Lonchura striata: one gene and its partner. The protein of the gene in region 2 binds, or shares a complex with, the protein of the main gene of each other region. Links are inferred from orthologs where the notes say so. Each region holds a gene or a part of one and is shown on either strand. Other genes may lie near its edges.

Region 1 (11,527 bases), on a different chromosome or scaffold from region 2:
CGGTACAAGGTCAGTGCCCAGACAGCTCCCACACTGCAGCCAGGCACTCTGTGGGTCCACGGCTTTGGAAGAGGAGGAGGAAGACTTTGCAGGGTGGGATCTGACCATCACCAAGCTCTCCAGGCAGCAGGGACACACCTTAGGTGGTTCCCAGGAAGGCCACACAGCTGGGAGTCATTTCAACCCTTAGCAGGGGAAAGAGACAAAGGAGAGCTGACACCAGAGAACCAGTGTGCACAGGGAAGGTTTATTCTCATCATAACACCTGGGAAGTGGTTTGGAGGAACAAAGGAATTGTCAGACTGGGAGGAAAAGCAGGTTTTTTTCCTCCCATAAACAAGATGATAGCTGTAAAGAAAACTAAACCACAACAGCTGCTCACAGTGAAGTCCACAGAATTACTCCAGCTCCACCCGCGTGCAAAACCAGCTCTTCCCATTAAATATAAGAATAAATTGCTTTTCTCTGGGACTAGAGCCAGACCAAACCCTACTAGCAGCCACTCAAAGGAAAAGAAAACAACAAAATACCCAAACAAAATATATCTTCTTAATAAAAAGCATAAACCGCTTCAGTTCTTGCAAGCACTCTGCTCACAACATCATTCCTACCCTGCTTCCCCACCCCATTCCGTGGGGCTGCAGGGCAAAAGGACCTCAAGACAGCAGCAATACAAGTGTGAAAAGGTGACCAGACAGACTGGGAGGGGACAGGTACCTGCAGACAGACACTGGCAGCCACCCACCCACTGGGGAGGGGAAACAGCCCTGCTGCAGCCTCCAGCTGAAAAACCAGGAGCTTCCCCAGAGCCAGCAGCTCCTTTTCAGGACATCTTCCAGGAAAACACTGCATGGGACAAGGGCCCCTTCTTCGGGGCAGCATCAACACTGTCAGAACAAAGAGGTAGGGCTGAGCTTGCCCCTTCTGGAAGGGTTTCCAAGGAATAACCCCCATCCCCCATTTGCTATGGCTGTACCACCCAGCACCCAGCTCATCCACAGGGTTTATTTGGGATTGGCAAAATCCTGCGGGTGGGTGAGGCTCCCCCTGCCCCAAGTGCTGGCACAGCGAGGCCACGCAGGGTGCTGGTGACAGGACCAGCCCAGGACGTGGCACCTGAGGGCTCTGCAGGACACAGCAGCAGGAAGGGGCTGCTCCTCTCCAGCTACTCTCAGAGCCTGAGGGGCAACCTGACAGCTGGGATAGGCAGAAGACACTGGGAGCCAGAGACCAAACATGCTTCACTGGGCTCCCAGCAGACAGAACTCACACGTGTGGCGTGGGCTGCCCTCAGCCCGGGTTCAGCAGAGCCTCTGAGCCCAAGGCTCCTTCTGCCAGCACCCACCTCTGCTCAGGCACGCTTTATTCACACAGGAAACCGGTTTTTTCCTCATAAAGTGCAAGAACTTTGCCTCTTACTGACTAGTCAACTAGAAGCATCACAGCCCTCACAGCGGGGAGCAGCAGGCAGGGAGCAACCCCCCCACGTTCAGGAGCTCCCAACACACCGGTCACTTCAGCAGGACCTCTGGCTCAGATATGGCCCTGTAGAGCACAAAGCCCATCTCATCAATTTCCTCTTCCAACAGCCTGGAGAACAGGTTGATTTTGGGGTTGAAATAGCAAGGCAGGACTCCTTTCTCCAGGGAAGCCACCAGCTCCTCAAGCAGCTGCTGGAACCTGTCAGCAAGGCTCTCCTCTGCCCAGTCCACAGCAGTGTCACTGAGGTGCAGGATGACATGGGCCATGGGGCTGCCCCCCAGTTTGTGCAGGCTGGGCTGGCTCTTGCAGATGCTGTTGAGGATGCGCAGGCAGAGCTGCCGAGCCCCGGCGTCACCAGCGTCCAGCTCCTTCACCCTCGAGACCTCCGCCCTGTAAAAACTCTCCAGCCAGAGGTTTTCCACCAGTCCTTCAGGAGGAACAGCCAGAAGAACCTTGTCCTCCATTTCCACCACTGGGAAGAGGGTGATGCTCAGATCAACCTGATCATGTTTGACTTCCAGCTTCAGCTCCCGGGAGGCCACCACAGGGTGGATGGCACAGCCCAGCAGGCCACCGATGGCAGGCCAGTTGATGGAGGCCACCAGCAGCTTGTGGAGGGTCTCGTTGATCACGCTGGACGAGAGGTACCGGCCCACCATGAACCTGTCCCAGGGGCTGCACCCACGAGGGAAGTAGCCCAGATCGATCCTCTTGATCATCCAGTACTGGGGGCTCCTCACCACGGTGTCCTCTCCCGAGATGAGGCTCCAGAGCCCGGCGTCGAGGACCACCGGGAGCATGAGGTGGATGTGGTCAGCTGCCAGGACCTCGAGGCCATCGAGCAGGGCTCCGCTGAGGAAGAGGCGGCCAAAGGGCAGCTCCGGGCACTTGCTCCTCAGGAAGTTCTGCAGCTGGGTGCAGATGCTCCTGGCCAGCTGTGGGACGAGGGACACTTGGATCTCGGGCACGGCCAGCTGGCTGCTGTGTGAGAGGAGCTTCTCCTGCAGCGTGAGACAGCGCAGGGGGCTGGGCTTGACCTGAGGAGCCCCCAGAGAGGCAGAGAAGCCCCTGGGATCTGTGGGAAGGGAAAGGAGAAGTCACAGCTCTGAGCACATCATCTGAAAGCCTCAGCAGCAGAGGGGAAGGCATGAGTTGGGTGCCCAGCTCTCAGCCCACCCCTCTGGAGGTGACACCGACCTCAGCAAGGGCCCCCATTGAGCTCACTGATGTTAACAGCACTTCTCAGCCATGCAGAGCCCAAACCAACCCCAAATCTGGCTGTTCCCAGCCTCACTCCTCAGCCAGAGATGGGAACCAGGCAAGGGACTTGCTGCCAGGGTCAGAGAACCACAGAATACACTGAGTTGGAAAGGACCCACGAAAATCATCCAGTCCAACTCCTGGCCCTGCACAGACACCCCAACAATCCCACCCTGTGCCTGAGAGCAGTGTCCAAATGCTCCTGCAGCTCTGGCAGCCTTGGGGGCACAACCATTCCCTGGGGAGCCTGGGCAGTGCCCAGCACCCTCTGGGGGAAGAATCTTTTTCCTAATATCCAACCTAAACCCTCCCTGACACAGCTGCTGCTGTTCCCTCATGTCCTGTCAGTGGTCACCAGAGAGATCAGTGCCTGCCCCTCGCATGAGGATCCTACAGACAATCCTGCTCTGGGTCCATTATCTCAGGACATGCCCTGGACTGAACTGGGCCAGTTTCCCACTTGGAAAAGCTCCATCTCCATGGGCAGCTGGACAAGGCAGCCTTTGTTTGCAGCAGCTCCTGAGCACACCTTCCTGCAGGCACAGCTGACCCAGAAAACTAGCACAGCCAACGCTGCTCCAGAGGAAACAAACCCCAACACCCTCTGCCAGGCCACTCCGGATGTCACCAGAGGTCCTGTTTCCGCTGGCATTGCCTAAAAAGGGGCCGTGGCTTGGGAGCCTCCCAGCAGGGCAGGCTCAGTGGGCTCGGCTTTCCGACAGCGAGCTAAAAATAACGTGGAGCTCCCGGAGCACACCAAGGTGATCCTCCTGGGCACCAGGAACCTCACCTGGCACCAGAGGCCGAGCTGGAGAGAGCAGAGGCTCACTGAGATCTTCCCTTCTCTGCTTCTTGGGGGGTTTTGGTGTTGTCTTGATCAATGCCAAGTCCTGCCAGCTCTCCTCCAGGGATTTCTGCTCAGCTTTGGGGTCGCCCTCATCCCGAGGGCTGGTGGCTCGGTCGATCAGCTGGAGGGAAGGAAAAGCCAAGAGGACAAGATGTTATCTTTGTTTTCCATGAATTACAGGTGAGGCGACAGCCCCACTCAAGGCTTCTGCTCAGAAAAACACCCAGTTTTGGGGGCCATGAGTGTGCACATCATCTTCCTGCAGGTTTTACATGGAAAACAGATTCCCAAATACAATTTAGGTCCCAGGTGCCTTTTGGGATGGGATACTGTATGCAAAATGCTCCAGGCAAACAGAACATGCATACATGGTCCCACAGGATGGAAGCAGGCAGCTCCATGTCCACGGCACTGCTTCCAGCACCCGTGGCATTTGTGCCACGTGCAAGGAACCAGCTCAGGAGAGAACATAAAGAATTTGGGACACATCTTGCCCCACCACACTGGAACCAACCCAGCCCTCCTGAGCATCTCCTGGTGCTCTATTCCCAGACCCAGCCTTACCCTCTTGACAGCCAGCGTGGCGATGGCCAGCACGGCCGCGCCGCTGACGCCCAGCACCAGCCTGGCGTTGGCCAGCAGCACATCGAACACGCTGCCCAGCCCGTCGAGGACAGCGCCCAGCCCGCCGCTCTCCTGCCGCCGGCCCCGCTGCTGCCAAAACGCCGCCATGGTCGCCCTGCGGAGAACAGGAGAGTCACCCCGGGCTGGGGGACCTGTCACCCCGGGACAGGCACAGCCGCAGGGTGGGATGGTTTGGGGAACAAAGGGTTCCGCCGGCCCGCTCTCCTCCGGGATAAAGGCTCCCGCCGGCGGCGGCGGGACGGCTGGGTGCGGCGAGGGAGCAAGGGTCACCGGGGGAAGGGACACCCCGGGGAGGGACACCCGGGGAAGGGACACCCCCGGGAAAAAAGGGACGGACACCCCAGGGAAGGGACACCGCAAGGAGGGAGGGACACCGCAGGGAAGAAGGGACACCGAAGGGAAGGGACACCCAGGGAAGGAAGGGACACCCCCGGGGAAGGAAAGGACGGACACCGAAGGGAAGGGACACCGCGGGGAAGGGAGGGACACCCCGGGGAAGGAAACATCCCGGGGAAGGAAGGGACACCCGCTCCTCACCCAGCCCTACCGCAAAGCCTCGCGGGGCACCGGGGCGATACCGCGGCCCGCGGGAAGGGAGCCCCCCCCCGACCCTACTGACGGAGGGGAGGCGGCACCAGAACCAGAACCAGCACCGGGACCGGCACCGGCACCAGAACCAGAACCGGGACCGGACCGGGCCGGGCCGGGCCCGGCGCTGCCCGCGCGCGCCCCCGCGCCGCGCTCCGCGCGCGCTCCCGCCGCGGCCCCGGCCAATGGGAGCGCGCGGCGGCGCGGCCCCGCCCACAGCGCGCGGAAGTGGCGCCAGGCGCCGCGCGCGTCACGGCCGGGGCGGGCGCGGGCGGGGCCTGGCGGGGCGCGGCACCGCGCGCCGCCCCCCGCGCTTCCGCCATGGCGGCCACCGGCGTCCTGCCCTTCGTCCGCGGCGTCGATCTCAGCGGCAACGACTTCAAGGTGCGGGGCGGCGGGAGCGGGGCACAGCCCGGCCCGCAGCGCCCCAGCGGGCCCGGGCCCCGCGGGGTTGTCAGGCCTGGCTCGGCCCCCGGGGCAGGGGAAGCCCGGCCCCGGCCCCGCCCGGGGTGGGTGACCTGGGGCAGTCCCGGTCCCGGCGCTGTGGGCGCTGCGGGGGCGATCCCTGACCCACATCGAACCGCTGGGGTTGAGCAACCCGGCCCTCAGCCCAGGGGGTCCCAGGGAGATCGGAGATCCCCGAGCCTCCAGCTCCCGGTCCCATAGGACCGGGCGATCCCAGCTCCCGGTCCCGTAGAACTGAGCGATCCCAGCTCCCGATCCCGTAGAACTGAGCGATCCCAGCTCCCGATCCCGTAGAACTGAGCGATCCCAGCTCCCGATCCCGTAGGACCGGGCGATCCCAGCTCCCGGTCCCGTAGAACTGGGCGATCTCAGCTCCCGGTCCCGTAGAACTGGGCGATCCCAGCTCCCGGTCCCGTAGAACTGGGCGATCTCAGCTCCCGATCCCATCGGACTGGGCGATCCGTCCCAGTCCCATAGGACTGGGCGATCCCAGCTCCCGATCCTGTAGGACTGGGTGATCCGTCCCAATCCCATAGGACTGGGCGATCCCAGCTCCCGCTCCCGTAGGACTGGGCGATCCCAGCTCCCGGTTCCGTAGAACTGGGCGATCCCAGCTCCCGCTCCCATAGGACCGGGCGATCCCAGCTCCCAGTCCCGTAGGACTGGGTTTCCATGGCCCCCAGCTCCCAGGCCCCTAGGACGGGGTGATCCCAGCCCTCTAATTCCCAATTTTATGGGACTGCTTCATCCCAACCCCACAGCTCCCAGTCCCTTAGGACTGGGTCATCGTGACCCCACACTTTCCAGCCCATAGGACTGCACGATCCCAGACCTCCCATGACCACAGAGCCTCAATCAGACTGAGGTCCCCAGATCCTCATCCCGTGGGACAGGTGTTTCCTCACCCTCTTCCTCCTCCTCCTCCTCGCAGGGCGGGTACTTCCCGGAGCATGTGAAGGCGATGACCAGCCTGCGCTGGCTGAAGCTGAACCGCACGGGGCTCTGTTACCTGCCCGAGGAGCTCGCTGCCCTCCAGAAGCTGGTGAGCCCCGTGTTCTGGGATGGAATGGGGCTCCCCTATCCCGCTGGGACCGTAGGATCCCACGGGAGCCTGTTCCCTGCCAGCCTCGTGGCTCAGCAGCGGGTGCTCCAGTGTCTAATAATAGCACTGAGCTGCAATGTGTGGTTGAAATGGGATGCAGGAGCTGTCAGGAGTGGGTTTGGAGTGGGCTTGCTCTCAGTTTCACCTTGTTTTCCTAGAAAACCAGATTAAAAACCACGCTTAGATCCTCTACCCTGTAGTAGAAGGGAAGGGTGATGGTTACAGTGGGGACAATCAAGGGTTTGGGGGCTTTTTTTCCTTCTTCTTTGCTAAAGTATGTAAAAAGCAGGAGCTGGCAGCTGTCTGGCTTTGTTTTTCGGGTGGTTCACCCAGGCCCTTGCTGGAGTCAAGGCTCAGCTTGGCTTTGGTGGTGTCCACAGCACATCAGGGACCTCATCCTGTCCGTGTCACACAAACTGAGTGCTTTAATCGCTGCCAGGGAATCCCTCAGTGCCACTCCTGCCAGCCCTGCCAGGTGCTCGGGGGCCACAGCAAGACTGAAATCCTGGCATCCCACCCACAGCCTGCCAATGCCGTGTGTTCCTGAGCAGGCAACAGCCGGGCTGGTGATGCTCAGAGGAAAACATTTCCCCAGGGGAATTCCTCCCACCCCAGCAGTGCCCACGTCTGCCCGTTCCCAAGGACTGGGATCTGTTTGTGTGGGCATCCCAGAGCACCCCAAACCCCACGGCAGGGCTGAGGTGTGCAGGGGATGAGGGATGTGGAGGCAGCGCAGGCACACTGGGCCAACCAACCAGTTTGAGACTGGGAGTGTCCCAGCAGCTCTGTGGGTGACAAGTCCCCAACTCTCCTGGGATGGAGGAGCCTCCACATCAATGTTGGGGCACAGCCTTTGCCCTGCACAGCCCCAGCTCCTCTCTCTGCTCACTGGGGCTTGTCTGGGACTTCCCTGCAGGAACACCTCTCCGTGAGCCACAACAGCCTCACCACGCTCCATGGAGAGCTCTCCGGCCTGCCCTGCCTCCGGGTGAGTGTCCCCCTCCTGCCTCAGGGGTCCCCAGGCACCTCTGGGATCTGAGGGCACACCAAGATCATACCTGGGCACCCTGGGGGCTCCGCAGGCAGCTGCATTCCTGCCTCTCTCCCCTCTGCAGGCAATTGTGGCTCGTGCAAACAGCCTGAAGAACTCGGGAGTCCCTGATGACATTTTCCAGCTGGATGACCTCTCGGTGCTGGTGGGTGCAGATTCTTCTCAGCTTATACAGGAGCCAGCTCAGACTCCTGGGTCCCTTTGCTGCACCGTGGTGGCTCCTTGTGTTCCTTGGGAGCAGCAGTCGCAAGCCCATGGCTGAGCTCCAGGGAAGCTGGCTGTCGGCAGGGTGACCCTCTGGCAATGTCTCCTTTAAAGGCTGATGCCATGGAAGGGCTCCCTGGGTTCCCTGTGTGCTGGTCCAGCTCCCTGGAGGTGTGGGTGGTGGTGGCTGGGTGACAACTGCTTTGTGCTCCCCCTTTCCCAGGACCTGAGCTACAACCAGCTCACAGAGTGTCCCAGGGAGCTGGAGAATGCCAAGAACATGCTGGTCCTTAACCTTGGCCACAACAGGTGGGTTCAGGCTAGAATAACCATCTCCCCATCCTGGCCATGGCCACATTTTGCTCTGGGTCCTGTTCTCTGCCCCTCCTCGAGGGAGATCCGGGGCTGGTGCAGATCCTAGGCACTCCTGAATTTCCCCACATCCCTGCAGCATCGACACCATCCCCAACCAGCTCTTCATCAACCTGACGGACCTGCTCTACCTGGACCTGAGCGACAACAAGCTGGAGAGTCTCCCACCACAGATGAGGCGCCTGGTGCACCTGCAGACCCTCATCCTCAACAACAACCCCCTCCTGCATGCGCAGCTGCGGTACGGCCCCGCTCCCCGGGCTGCCTCCCAGCCTGGCAGGGCTGGCACTGAGCTCCCTGCTCCATCCTGACACTCCCTCTGCCCTGTGGCTCTCCCTGGTCCTCAGGCAGCTCCCGGCCATGACGGCCCTGCAGACCCTCCACCTCCGCAACACCCAGCGCACGCAGAGCAACCTGCCCACCAGCCTCGAGGCCCTGGTGAACCTGGCAGGTAGGGCTGGGGCATCCAGCCCCACAGAGCCCTCCAGGGGCTCTCCCAACCCCAGTGTTGGTCTGGCTGGTGGTGTCACCCCGTTGTTTCTGTCCCCAGATGTGGACCTGTCCTGCAATGACCTCAGCCGTGTCCCTGAGTGTCTCTACACCCTGGGCAGCCTGCGGCGCCTCAACCTCAGCAGCAACCAGATCACGGAACTGTCCCTCTGCATCGACCAGTGGACCCAGCTGGAGACCCTCAACCTGTCCCGCAACCAGCTCACCTCCTTACCTGTATGTACCTGCCCTTTTGTGCCATCCCTGCTCGTGGTTCCATGGTTCTCCCTCACCCCACCATCTCCCCCTTCCCCAGTCAGCCATCTGTAAGCTGACCAAGCTGAAGAAGATGTACCTGAACTCCAACAAGCTGGACTTTGATGGGATCCCCTCGGGCATTGGCAAGCTCACCAACCTTGAGGAGTTCATGGCAGCCAACAACAACCTGGAGCTCATCCCTGAGAGCCTGTGCAGGTAAGGAACACACCACTGGATCTGCTGTGTCCCCAGGAGGGAGCACAGAGGTTCTGTGGTCACAGGTCACCCTGGGCTGGCCTGTCACCAGCATCGCCGTCCCACAGGTGCTCCAAGCTGAGGAAGTTGGTGCTGAACAAGAACCGCCTGGTGACGCTGCCAGAGGCCATCCACTTCCTGACAGATGTGGAGGTGGGCACCCAGTGCTTCTCTGCCTTGGGCTGGCTCCACCACAGCCCCAGCACCTCCCTGGGACCCCAGGGCTGTAGGGTGGGCTGGATGAGGTGAGGGCAGGGAAGCTCAGGGCCAGTACCTGCAATCTGCCACATGTCAGCCCAGGCAGGCCATGGATTCCCTCCACATCCCCTCAGGTCTCCATCCCATGCCACATTCCAAATATCCCTGTGAGCACGAACTTCACCGAGGTCTCTGTGCCCTCCCTGGCAGATCCTGGACGTGCGCGAGAACCCCAACCTGGTGATGCCCCCGAAGCCGGCGGATCGCTCCTCGGAGTGGTACAACATCGACTTCTCCCTGCAGAACCAGCTCCGCCTGGCCGGAGCCTCCCCCGCCACCGTCGCCGCTGCCGCCGCGGGTACGCGTGCAGGGAGGGGGGCACGCGGTCCCTCCCTGCCCTGGCACGGACCTGGCAGAGGCTGGGGGGTGAGCCCTGCTCCGTGGGGTGCCCCACGGGCGGCGTGGCCGCCTCTCACCCCGTCCCTGTGTCCCCAGGGAGTGGCACCAAGGACCCGCTGGCCCGCAAGATGCGGCTCCGGCGGCGCAAGGACTCTGCCCAGGATGACCAGGCCAAGCAGGTGCTGAAGGGGATGTCGGATGTGGCCCAGGAGAAGAATAAGAAGATAGAGGTAGGGTCTGGGGTGGGAGAAGGGCCCTGAGGGCATCACAGTGTCCCTGGCCTACCTTGGCTGCCAGCTGGGTTCTGGTTGTCCCTAATCTGACCTGTTCCTGTCCCACAGGAGAGTGGGGAGGCGAAGGCGCCGGATCTGAAGACACGGCGCTGGGACCAGGGCCTGGAGAAGCCACAGCTGGACTACTCGGAGTTCTTCAGCGAGGACGTGGGGCAGCTGCCCGGCCTCTGTGTCTGGCAGATCGAGAACTTCGTGCCCACGCTGGTGGACGAGGCTTTCCACGGCAAGTTCTACGAAGCCGACTGCTACATCGTGCTCAAGGTAACCCGGGAGGACCAAAGGTCCCCTGCATCCCCTGCCAGGAGCTGCAGCCATCCCATCTCACACCCTTGTCCTTCCCAGACCTTCCTGGATGAGAACGGTTCCCTGAACTGGGAGATCTACTACTGGATCGGGCAGGAGGCCACACTGGACAAGAAGGCCTGTTCCGCCATCCACGCCGTCAACCTCCGCAACTACCTGGGGGCTGAGTGCCGCAGCATCCGGGAGGAGATGGGGGATGAAAGCGAAGAGTTCCTTCAGGTGAGGCCAAGTCCCAGCTCCCCTGTAACCCCCGACCCCTCCTGTCCCAGCCTCACCCCTCCATGCCCCCAGGTCTTCGACAATGACATCTCCTACATCGAGGGTGGCACAGCCAGTGGTTTCTTCACCGTAGAGGACACGCAGTACGTCACCAGGTACAGCTGGGGACAGGGGCTGGGGCGATGATTGGAGCAGGCAGTGCCCCATGTCCCACCACGGCTGTCCCTTCCCCAGGCTCTACCGTGTCTATGGGAAGAAGAATGTCAAGCTGGAGCCGGTGGCACTGAAAGGGACATCACTGGACCCCCGGTGAGTGGCCAGGGGACAGAGGGACCTTACAGAAAGTTCAGCAGGATCCACCTGAGACACTATAGCTGCAGTTCTGTGGTGCAAATGGGCTATGCCAGCACCTTTCTACAAGAACATGGGTTCAAACATTGGTGCCCTGCAGGGATCCCCAGGATGGGGAGGATGCCCAGCACTCCCCATTCTCTCCTGACCCCTCTCACCTCTCTCCTCCAGGTTTGTTTTCCTCCTGGACCATGGCCTCAACCTCCTGGTGTGGCGTGGGAGCCAGGCCACGCTGAGCAGCACCACCAAGGCCAGGTAGGGCTGGTGGGGGTGCCGGGGTGTGGGGAGCTCAGCTGCCATCTCATGTGCTCCCACCGCAGGCTCTTCGCTGAGAAGATCAACAAGAACGAGCGGAAGGGCAAGGCCGAGATCACGCTGCTCACCCAGGGCCAGGAGACCCCCGAGTTCTGGGAGGTGCTGGGGGGCCAGCCCGAGGAGATCCGACCCTGTGTCCCCGATGACTTCCAGCCCCACAAACCCAAACTGTACAAGGTGGGGAGCTGCATCCACAGGGCCACCACCTGCTGAGGTCCTGCAGCCCCCACTCACCTCTGTCCCCCTCCCCTCTGCAGGTCGGCCTCGGTCTGGGCTACCTGGAGCTTCCCCAGGTCAACTACAAGCTCTCTGTGGAGCACAAGAAGAGGCTGAAGGCTGATCTGATGCCGGAGATGCGCCTGGTAGGATGGGGTGGGGAGGTTCTCCCAGTCTGACCAGTGAGACTGGTTTCATGCCCCTTTTGCCTCCAG
Region 2 (11,596 bases):
GCCCTCCAATAATTCACTTAGGAAAATAATGCCTCATCTAAGTAGAAACAAGTTACAGACTCTCAGTTACATCATGGAACTGTGGTATTTGAAGATTCCCATTTGCAAGCCAGATATACTGACCTCACATAGTACTGTGTATACTGCTATATTAATGACTTGCAGTAAAGTAAATCAAAACCAACTTGCATATTCAAATTTTAAAAGTTCTAAACAACAGTATTATTAAAACAAACCCAAACCCTAAATCTCTAAGTTAGTCAACTTTCTGGCTACTACACAAACAAATCTTTTCCAAAAACTACACAGGCATTTTTTCCTCCAGATTGTGAAAAACAAATGCCTGCACTGTATGTTTTAATACTCTTCCCCTCCATCTTCCTGAAAATATGTTTTCTTTGCACTGTGCCTCCTGGACAACATACAAGATTCACCTGGTCTAATTAAAATACCAGTTTTCCAAGAAAAACAACTGCCAATTACAAGATGAACAGAACAAGGTCCTTGCAGTAAAGCATCAAAACAAAACCAGAAAAGAGAAGCACAAGACTTCTTTATCCACATCATTCTACAACTGTGAATTCTGTGCAGACTCTCTGCTCTTCCAAGATAACCAGGCATTTGCAAACAATAAAATTAGTATCTTCTAAATCGTGTTTAATAATGTTTTCATATTAAGAATCATAAAATGCTAAAATGCAGGATCAAATTATTAGACCTATCATTCTATTTTAATTCATATAAGGTCTACAGATAGAAAAAGTGAAAATGCCATCCTTTCAGTCACAGAAACTTTCAAGACCCAAAAAGTTCAGCTGTTCAGAAACAGGGGGCCCATCAGAGCAAAGAAACAGCACAACAATAAGTGCTGTTTGCACTATATCATATTAACAGCAACATTTATATTAATTAGCTGTTTACATTTACCAGACATGTCAACCTCACTTTGCTGCTTGTCTGAAACAAACAGAACAGTCAGGGCATGACTTGACAGGAGCAAAGAATGGCAAAAAAAGGAAAACTGTTACACCCAAAACCAGAGACTGTAAATGTCAGATATGAAAGCAAATTTAAAAAAAAAAAACAAATTAAATCAGGAAGTTTGCAAAACATCTGGGAGAAAAAGCAAACTGTCCCCAGCCAGCATGGAAGCAATGCTCTGGTTACATCCTCTATTCAAATGTAGATACTAATGGGTTTTTGCATCTGCTTCAATTGCCACAAAGATCCTCGGACAAAACAACAACAAAAAAAATCAAAACAAATAAACAAAACACCACAAAAATCAAACTAACAACTCAGCAAGAGAGGCAGGAGGAAGACATGGCTGTGCCTGGCATGGGTTTTTCCTTGTTGCTTAGTACAAACCAGAGTTTCCTTCACCTCAACTGGCTTTTTGCCAACACAATGTAGGCTACACTGAATGAGCTAAGTGGCTTGAATTTCTGTTCCCCTGCCAGGGAAAGTCACAGAAGCTCTGCAGAGCACCTGAAGTTCCAGACCAAGGTGCCAGCCTCTCTCAGGATGCTTTGATAGCATCTGCCGAATTCATTTCCTTATCCCACTAGCCAGGACTGTCCATTACCTTCCCGTTGCTGTCAACTCCTTAACAGCCAAATCAGCATTCTTCCAACTATTTATCTTACCAGAACATAAATATCCACATATCCAGGCTGTGGATACATATATACATATCCACATGCTCAGGCTGTGACCTCAGATCAAGAAACCTTCCACCTTGCAATAACAAGTGGTTTAGCATCAGCATCAAACATACACAAAACAGAAAAAAAAAAAGGAATAAAAGTCACACTCGTCTGTGAGTCAATCCCAGGGCAACATTTAGCAGAACTACACCTCCCCATTTAAAGACTCAAAATGGCATTGGCAGAAGACTGAGCAGAAGAACTCCATAAATGTGCACAGGAAAGGTCACTCCAAAATCTGACCTGTCAATTCCATCAGTTGCTACATCAATTTTGCTACAATGTCTCCACTTCAGTTAACACTAACAAGTGCAAATAAAGCCCACAAAGTGATTTTATGTTAGTATTAGATTTTTGTTACAAAGCTGACACTAAAGTTCGTATAAAACTAGGCTGACGACTACTAAAAATCAAAAACATATTCAAAAAATTAAGGGCACAAAAAATAAATAAAGACAATTCATTTTTACCGACTTCTAGGCAGATATTTTGTTGTCTGGCTGGTTTTCTTAAATTTATTCTAAATCTTATGACCACTTTGGTAGTGTAGGCATTTAATTTTTGTGATACCACCTATCCACACAAAAGGCCATCGTTAATTACTTTTCTTCCCCTTGTCTTCTTTACTGTAGTTTTAATGTGTTTAGTTGAGGCACTTCAATACCACAATATTACCCCTTAAAATACAGAGTACAAAGCACTTGTATAAATCAGAATACTGAGTATTACAACATTACTGAACTAATATTTTTATATCATATTGCTAACCTGGACACTTTTTTCTTTTTGCACTTTAGTCATACAGTTCTAAAAATGGAACTGGAATACTGACTTGGGGAAAAAATAGAACACCTATCTGGAAATGGCAGAAAAACCCTGAAACAGTGAAGAAAAATGGGCAGTTTGAAGGTGTCCTCTGACTACAGCAGAGTTCCCAGTCTTCTTAAATGACTCTATGCTAGGATACAGAAATAACTTACACAATATTAATGGGGAGAATGAGAAGGAATTCTCATATGACTGAATGGCAGGAAAACCACTACAAGTGCAAGAGGCCATCTAGATGTGCAAAATTTACTGAGAAACAATTTGCAATTAGCACCAAAATGTATCTAGAAAGAGGAAAAATTAAAGCATTTCAATTGCTCAGGGCACAAGGGAGGTAGGAAATGAATACCAAACAACAGAGGTGGGGGGAAGGGAACATGGAAAACAGAAAATATTCACAGCAGAGTTAAGGCTTATAAACAGCTTCTAAACAACCTAGAAAAGAAAGAAATAACTTAATGCACAGAATGAGAAGCAGAGAAAGACCTAAGCACAAAAGAACAAAAGGGTAGAGAAGAGAGAGAAAGATAAACAGAAAACTACTTAAAAAAGCACTTTTCCTCTCCTTGCTGAATATGTAAAAAGGTCATTTAAAAAAAGCAAGTGGCAAATGGATGCAAAAAAGCATAACTTAATTAACAGAGGATTACAGAAACCTTAACTGGCAGCATTTGCTTCCTACAAGAAAAATGGAGGTGAAAAATTCAAGACTGTTTATTGTGAACATTATTCAAAGACAGCATATGCCAGTGGGCTACAGATACATCAAGTGTGTGAACAAACTTAAAGGCCACACAGCAGTTCACAAAGAAACATTACTGTCTAAATGGCACATGTTAAATAAAAGGAAGAAAGCTACCAGCAGCAGAACTATCAGCTCTAAGCCCATATGTGACACATCTCTAAAAATCTGGTCTCCAATAAACTGACTCCAAATAAATAGATTAATAATATTTTATTTAAACTAAAACTAATTGCATAAAATAAGTATCTACAGAATTATTATGTCAGTAAAGACAATTTTTTCTTCCAACAACCCTGACTAAAACAAAAAAAACCCCAAGATACAGCTTGCTAGATATTTTGGTATATATTTTTCTGGAGTCCACAGAGGACTTTGTTTTGGGATGATAGGAAATTTCATGCTAATTTCTGGGGGTTCATAAATATAATGGATACATGATATTGATATAGATGGGGAGCCCCGAATAGATATTGATATTGATGGGGAGACTACTGAAGGCAAACACATGTCAATACTGTTTTAACTGTCAGTATTTACTTATGGAAAGTATTTACACCTAGGAAAAGATAACTAGGACAGAGTTGTTTAAAAGTATTTTTAAAAAATGCCACTTCATAAAGTGAAACTGGAAAAAGTACTTTTTTAATCTTACATAGAAAAATGCCATTGCATTTACACGTACAGCTGGTGTTTTTAGTTATCAATTAAAATCCTGAGTACACAGTACTTGGTACTGAAGTCTTCGGTGAGCATGCTACTGTCAAGGAGCACAGCACATTCAATACATATTTAAATATCACAGAAACAAAACGAGCGCTCCATTAGCTTCATCTTCTACTCCCTTGCGACTGCTGCAGCTCTGGTCAGGCACGTTCAGCTGCCAAAAGTTCTGCTGAAGAGCAGGATCCCATTTGAAGAGATAGGAGAGGATCTGAGCTATCTTCGAGCCCAGGAGCACTACCAGGCTCACAAGCACGTGTTGCAACTGTTGCAGCCAACAGTCGCTGGCCTCGCCTCTCACCTTCACTCCCCATCGCCAGCTAAGACAAAGAGTCCAAACGGCACAAGAACTCGGGGAAAGGACACCCATCCACGCCCGCAAGATGCCGTCCCGCTACCACATCCCCTCCGTCCGGCCCGGCCCTCGCTGCACGGCCGCTGTCGAGGAAGGGAAGTCAGGGCCGAGTAGCGACGGCGATCACGGTGACAGCACCGCCGCGCCCCCCGGGGATACGGGGCACCCGCTGCCGCGGCCCCGCGGAGCTGCCGGGCCCGAGAAGCGCCCGAGGGCGGGCGGCGCAGAGGCGCTCCCGGCGCAGCCGGGGCCGAGGCGGCGGAGCGGCCGAGGGCGTGCGGGGGAACGCGGGCACCGAGAGCGCCCCGCCCGCCTCGCCCGTCGCGCTCCCCCGTCGCGCTCCCCCGTCGCGCTCCCCCGTCGCGCTCCCCCGTCGCGCTCCCCCGTCGCGCTCCCCCGTCGCGCTCCCCCGTCGCGCTCCCCCGTCGCGCTCCCCCGTCGCGCTCCCCCGTCGCGCTCCCCCGTCGCGCTCCCCCGTCGCGCTCCCCCGTCGCGCTCCCCCGTCGCGCTCCCCCGTCGCGCTCCCCCGTCGCGCTCCCCCGTCGCGCTCCCCCGTCGCGCTCCCCCGTCGCGCTCCCCCGTCGTGCTCCCCCGTGCCCTTGGCGGCGGCGGAAGCGCGATGGGCAGCCCGACCTTGCCCTCGGGGCGGTGCCCGCCCGCGGCCCCGGCCCGGCGCGGCCCGCCTCACCTGCGTGCCCACCACCACGATCTGCGGCAGCTGGATGATGTCGGCCCCCACCGTGTTGAACACGTCCTGCAGCTTGTTGATGACGGGGATCAGCGCCTCCATAGCGGCGGGCGAAGGGACGGGCCGGGCGGGACGTCGGCGGTCGATGGACGCGACGGGCACCGGCGGCTCCCTCAGCCGCCCCCTGCGCCTGCCGCCATCGGCGCCGGCCCCCGCGCACGGCCCGGCCCCGGCAGCCCCCGCGCGCCCGCCGCGCGCGCCGCCGCCGCCGCCGGGCACCATGGGAGTTGTAGGCCGTGCGGCTTGGCCGCGCCGCGCCCCGCTCGGACGGCGCCGCGGCCGCCGGCGTTCGAGGGGTGTTGTCTGAGGCGTCATTGCCGGGTTTTGTCACACAGAAACACGGACTCGGCCGGGCTGGAAAAGGCCTCTGGGATACTTGGGTCCAGCCTGTGATCGAACAGCCGCATGTCAATTGAGTGCTGCTTCCAGTCCTTCCTTACACACCTCCAGAGATGGTGACTCCAGCACCTCCCTGGGCAGCCCATTCCACTCTTTATGTGAAGAAATTCTTCCTAATGTCCAACTTGAACCTCCCCCGGCACAGTTTAAGACAATGTGCTCTTGTCCTGTCACTGACACCAGGGAGAAGAGTCCCCAGGAAACAGCTGTAGAGAGCGACGAGGTCGCCCCTGAGCCTCCTCCAGTCTGAAAAACGACAATCGCTCGTTTTAAAATTTTACAAGCTTAATAGTAATAAAATGATTCTAAAAATAGAGTAATAAGAATTTAGACAGAGTTAGGACAATAAAAGGTAATAAAAAGCAAAGAATTATGAACGTTCAGATGCTTTCCTCTTGAAAGCGTGTCTCGCTGACAAAGGATTAACCCTTAAAAGCAGCAGCCTGTTGCATATTCATATATCTCATACATGATGCATAAATTCTTTTTAAACAAAGTGTGTTCTCTGGTTATCATCAACTCCTTCCCCTTAATCCTGGTGTCTCCTTAAAGATGGAGAGAAGGTGGAAGGAGGTTTGTCTTTCCCAATAAGGAGGCAGTAACTCTTAGGTGTCTTGTTGCCCTTATCTCTGTGCAAAGAATTTCTTGATTATTTCATCCCTTTCTTGAACTAGTTAAAAAAATATCTTACATTGCATACTTTCCATTATAACATTATGTTATAACCTAAAACTGTATCTACCACATGACTTAAAAAGGATTAATGTAGTACTACAAAATGTGTTATGCGTTACATGTTATGCGTTCCAACATAACATATATAGTATTGAACTTAATATTTGCAAAGAGCCAGTAATTTAGAGCTTTTCCTGCCAGAAGAGCAGGAAAATTAAGCTGCTGGGGCAGGGAAGAGGCATAATGGAGGTAGTTTCTGGGGAAGAACAGAACTGGAGATCTGTTCCTCCAAAGTGCCCAGTGAAAGGAATATTCTTCCATTTCTGTTCATATAGTGAGAATTGCAATGGACACATGTGGTACAGCTATATTTATTCTGTTTGCTTTCTTGTATATGTTTGTTGTTTTGCTGTGAGGCTCTTGGATAATCATCTGAAATTCTCCAACTTAGATGTGTAATTACAGGTTAGGTTGAGGTATCTTAGGAAGTGGGTATTGTAATGTAGGTGAAACCGGTGGAAAGAAATTATGATGTCTGACTCCAATTCAGAAGGTTGAATGATTTCTTTATTATAACTATACTATAATATATTAATATACTATTTAAAGGAGATACTAAAATTACATATCTACTTTTTCTAACTATCATATCTAACTCACTAACAACTTGTGACCCTCTCTCTTGAGACTTCAGACACAGGTGGATTGGATTAGCCATCAGGCTCAAACAATCCTCACCAGAATCCAATCAAGCAATCACCCCAGGTAAACAATTATCCAAACACATTCTACATGAGAAAAACAAGGAACAGAAATAGAAATTGTTTTCTCTTTCTTTCCTCTGTAGTCCTCTATAAAAAATCCTGAAAGAGAGAAGAACGTGACTGCCACAAGGGGGGAACTGTGTGAGATCTAATAATCAGCTGTGTTATAAAAAGATAGAATGAAACCAGACTTGTGATGTGAGATCACAACAAATAAGCTGTCTCATCTTCAAATGTCTTTCCTTTGAGTGCATTTTCTGGAAGATAAATTACGAATATGCTGGCACTATGTTAATATGGACTTTGTTCTTTCTTGTAAGCAACAGAGTAAAAAGGCTTCTGAAAATTTCAAGTTTTGGATGGCATTAGAATTCTTATTCTTGTTCTATACAAATTAGTCTTTTCCAGTCTTCACATCTTGAAACACTCAAATGTCAACTGAAAGAACATGGATATGTGTTCTTATTTGTATATCTTTTCAGCAAAGTTTCTCATTCTTGGCCAAGCAATTTCACACTCTCAGAGGGATAATATTTTGTGATAAAAGCATAAAGATGGCTAAGCAAATTGAAACACTCCAAAATTCAGTGTATTCAGCACAGAGAGAAGCAGTTAATGCATGTAAAATTTTGGGAAGAAGGTTCTGAATGACTGGTGAAGGCTTCCTGTCATACAAACATTATCCAGTGATTTCACTCATTAGCTCTCAGCCTGCAGCCGATGGCTCCCAGAGATCATTAACACCAAAAAAGTCATTTGGCATCCATCTCTCCAGCTTCCAGGACAAAAGGAAGTGTTTCCCTGACATGACAAATAATCTTTTTAAAAGGCTTGCTATTCCCTGTTAAGGCTGATCTCCTTCCTTGAGGTGAGACAAGGCGAGGCAAGGCAAGGCAAGACAAAGCAAAGGGAAGGGGAAGGGGAAGGGGAAGGGGAAGGGGAAGGGGAAGGGGAAGGGGAAGGGGAAGGAATATCCCAGTTGCACAGGACAAGAAGCTGCTGGCTCCCAATGAAATGGTTAACACCAGCTTATTTCTCTATGCAAATGCAAATCTCTTTTCTCCTACCACTTTTATTTTGTCGTATGATTTCATGGACATCCCTGTGAAATGGACAAAGTGAAACCTGGTTTCTGTCTTAATTTAGACCAGAAGTGGGACATCTCAGCAAGAATGTAAAACTGGAAGAGGGTCAGAGAGGGACAATAAGGATGATGAAAGGTGTGGAACAGCTTCTCTATCAAAACCAACTAAGAAAGCCAAGAATGATCACTCTACAAAGATATGGCACAGGGTAGCAAGGACCAAAGGTCTGTGTATTCATTAGCAACCTGGAGTGGGTGAAAGAGGATCAGGTTTCTTCACTCTCCCTTCCAATAGAGACATTTTGGGAATATATAATGAACATAAGAGCCAGCTCAGAACAAGACAAAGACAGTAACCCCTTGCAGGAGCTTTGGTGACCTTTTGAGCTCCTTACCAAAGGACGCTGTATACAGTAAAATTTTAAATTAGTTCAGATGTTTCATGGATTAGTTTAAGAAGGAGAAATGCATTGCATATATAAAAACAGACCTGTAGGGATCAAATCTAGCTGGGGCTGTTTCTGAGCTGGCAATGTTTAGGAGCTGCAAGAGCAGCATGCAGAAGCACTGCATGTCCTCGCCCGCTAGCCTGCCCCACTATGGCTATTCTTAGAATTTTATCAGTGTAATATTTCAAGGAGAACACAGAAGAAATACCAGCTGCTGAACCAATCTGAGACAAGCCAGCTTGCCCAGCAGAGATGTTGAAAGGTCTGTCAAGGGCTGTATGCACCAATGGAGAAACACAGTGGAGATGGAGGAAGTGAATTAAGGAAGAAATGCAAGATGGAAATACTAAAGAAGATAAAAAGCTAAGAAGCATCAGAATGATGATACATTTAACATATTTTAAATTTCTGGCTAAAAATTGAGAGCCAGAAATACCTCTGCTATGAAGTTTCATGGCCTGCACCAACAGTTACCTCAGCCTTGCTGAGGACTGTGACAAAGCAATAAATATTTTAACACTCAATGATTGTCTGTAGCTTTAACTCTAAATTTCCATGGCTGACTTACATTGTACTGAGCAAGAAACTCAAAGATCTGATAAAGAACATAGTAGTCAGACTGGTTATTGAAGTTAATAGGCATGAGGACATAGGAAGTGCCACACCAAATGTGACCTGATATCCATCTACTTCAGGACCTCATCTAAGACCTTCCAGCATCAGCCTTCTGGGGAAAATATAAAAATGCAGTAATAAGATCATTCAAAAACTGTATGTTAAATTATTCTGATAGTGCTGCAAGATCTGAAGTAGACAGTTCAATATTTCTTCCATGTTTCTGCAAACTAGGTTGCTTTATTTAATATATAGTAGGAGTTTGTCTCATCACACTAAATTCTTGGCTCCAATGACAACCTCTGGTGGTAAATTTCATTATCTAGTTATATATAATGAAAAAATTCAATTTGATATGAGTTTTGTATTTGTCATCTTCCAATTTCCATATAAGCCTCCTTGGTTTTATGTTTGACATCAGGAGAACATTTCCAGACTTTTTTCTCCATGATATGAATTCCTTTTTAGTTTTGCATCATCATTTGCTTCCATTTTTCTTAGACAGCTGAGTCTTTTTTATTGGCACACTGACAGTAATGACAAGTCACTTGCCATTTAGCCCATTAATGCCAGACAATGAAACCACAAATGAGCACCTCAGCAAAGCATTTTTCCTGACATCCTCTTTTGTCTAGAGAATTATTACTGAAATATATCAAGTATGTAATGTAGCAGTTGTGCCTCATACATTCATACTGCTTTATGCTGCAAAAACACTATTAGCAAAATATTTATATAAATTATTCCTTACTAATATCACGTTTTGGAACCATGCAGTGCAGAAATTATATGGGTCTGGCAGAGATCAGATTTTATGTGAAGTCAAATTGAATGGTGTTTCTGTATTCTCCAGAGCAACCTTGTCACAGATGTAACTGTAACAGTTTCTTACACCAGGCACCATTGGAAGATGAGATAAATAAATTCCTGAAATCCCTTGACAGAATGACATTTCGTTTGGCTACTCTACACAGATTTCCCAGGCTGAGAGATTCTAAATCTTGTTCTTTTTTTTCTTTTCCAGAAGCAACAGAAGTCAGAGTGAGAAATCCATATTTAAGGAATTCTGTTGACTTGGCAAAGCAAGCTCTCTTATGTGCTTCAGCTGGATGTAAGAAACCATAGTGCTGATAGGAATTCCTGAGTGTGGGGAACATGTTACCTGTGCTGACACCCAGCGTCTGACAAAACAAAGTTATCCTGGGGCAGGGATGCAACTTTGCTGGACATTATGAACTAAAAAACAGAGAGTTCCTTTTATTTTCTTAATCTGAATACTGGTAAATTATTTATTAAATTCCTCTGGTATTTGGGGTATAAGACAACTTCTGGTAAAACTTGCTCGTGAAACTTAAAGCAGGTTTCAAGTTGAGGGAGAGGAGAACAGAGGTCAAGAGCCACAAGGAAAGCACAACATTTGAACCTCATAAATCAGTAACAAAGCTCAAGAACTTTGGTATTTGGAAGACATTAGCTTTTCCCATGGGGCCAATAGAGATAAAAACTTAGGCTGGAGATGAAAGTAATCTCTGTATCCTTGTGGATTCCTGTACAGCAGTGCTCTCTCCTTGCTGCAACTGGGGTGGTCACTTGAAATTACAAACACAATACTGAAACAATTGCTTCAGTAAAATATTTTCAGCACCCCAATGGTTTGCAGTTCAATTTTCAGGTAAAGACTCTTTATGTTAAAAGACCGAGGTTTTGGGAATAAAGGCAATAACCTCCTATCTACTATCCAGTAAGTAACTTTAATTGCTAAACAAAATGCACACATAGCATTCAAGTGAAGCAACAAAAACAGAAAAGAAAATATCCCAACCAAACCTTACCTCAACCAAAACTTGCTGGTGTTCAGAGGAACTGAGCTTGTATCTTCTACTTCTGGATCTAGTAAAGAAGATAATCTCCTGTAGTCTTTTTAAGGTAAAATAGTATGCCAAGAGGAGCATTTTTTATTTTTATGATACACCTTTTCTTGTGCATGCTGCTTATGATTGGCAAAATTTTAAGTTGGCAATGTAACAATTGAGCATATGTGGCTTACAACATCACACCCTGTCCATAAGAGTAATGATAGCAGATACTTCATGTCTCACCTGCCATGCTTTGCTTTGTGCTGCAGATTGGTCTTGAGGCATAGGGATGCAGGTCTTTCCATGTGAAACATAACCGTAGGATGTACTTTAGCAACTTAATGGCATTCAGTTCATAGGGCAAACTTAGTGCTAGTTGGAGATCAACTTCCTAAATACAACACAGATAAGGTGGCAGGCCTTTTGCAAATCTGTGTCCCAGAACCTCGGGCTGTAAGATTTAGACTTACTTTGCAAGAAATACTCAAGCAAGACACAACAGGTAAGGCAGGAAATTCTACATGCCAGGCAACACATCAAAACAGAAGTACAATGAAATCCTGTCTTCTTCCATCACAGGGTCATTAATTTAATTTCACACTGAGAGATGGATCCCCTATTCAGTAGCAGTTAGAATCTAAAACCCATTTCC

What was found.
Region 1: the proteins of DNM1L (region 2) and MIEF2 are in contact, whole or in part, in a cryo-EM structure (PDB 5WP9), measured with the Homo sapiens proteins. The link is inferred for Lonchura striata from reciprocal best matches to the Homo sapiens genes DNM1L and MIEF2. Residues at the interface, in NP_036192.2 of Homo sapiens: Asp190, Met191, Ala192, Thr193, Ser194, Leu197, Lys198, Ile199, Arg201, Glu202, Gly223, Thr224, Asp225, Asp228, Arg233, Val234; in NP_631901.2 of Homo sapiens: Val213, Asp214, Thr215, Val216, Arg218, Arg226, Leu230, Arg235, Val245, Gly246, Tyr248.

The regions. Positions count from the first base shown.
Region 1 is NC_134618.1:15,738,439-15,749,965, reverse strand, and holds MIEF2 (mitochondrial dynamics protein MID49), read right to left. Parts: upstream 4,877-11,527; 5' UTR 4,782-4,876; exon of another isoform or gene 4,772-4,781; intron 4,329-4,771; 5' UTR 4,322-4,328; coding exon 4,154-4,321; intron 3,711-4,153; coding exon 3,533-3,710; intron 2,558-3,532; coding exon 1,512-2,557; 3' UTR 229-1,511; downstream 1-228. Other genes in the region: FLII (protein flightless-1 homolog), read left to right, coding at 5,144-5,206, 6,219-6,329, 7,306-7,377, 7,505-7,585, 7,868-7,953, 8,096-8,257, 8,364-8,467, 8,567-8,742 and 11 more. UniProt on the Homo sapiens protein: Mitochondrial outer membrane protein involved in the regulation of mitochondrial organization.
Region 2 is NC_134607.1:17,418,034-17,429,629, forward strand, and holds the start of DNM1L (dynamin-1-like protein), read right to left. Parts: upstream 5,265-11,596; 5' UTR 5,145-5,264; coding exon 5,043-5,144; intron 1-5,042. UniProt on the Homo sapiens protein: Functions in mitochondrial and peroxisomal division.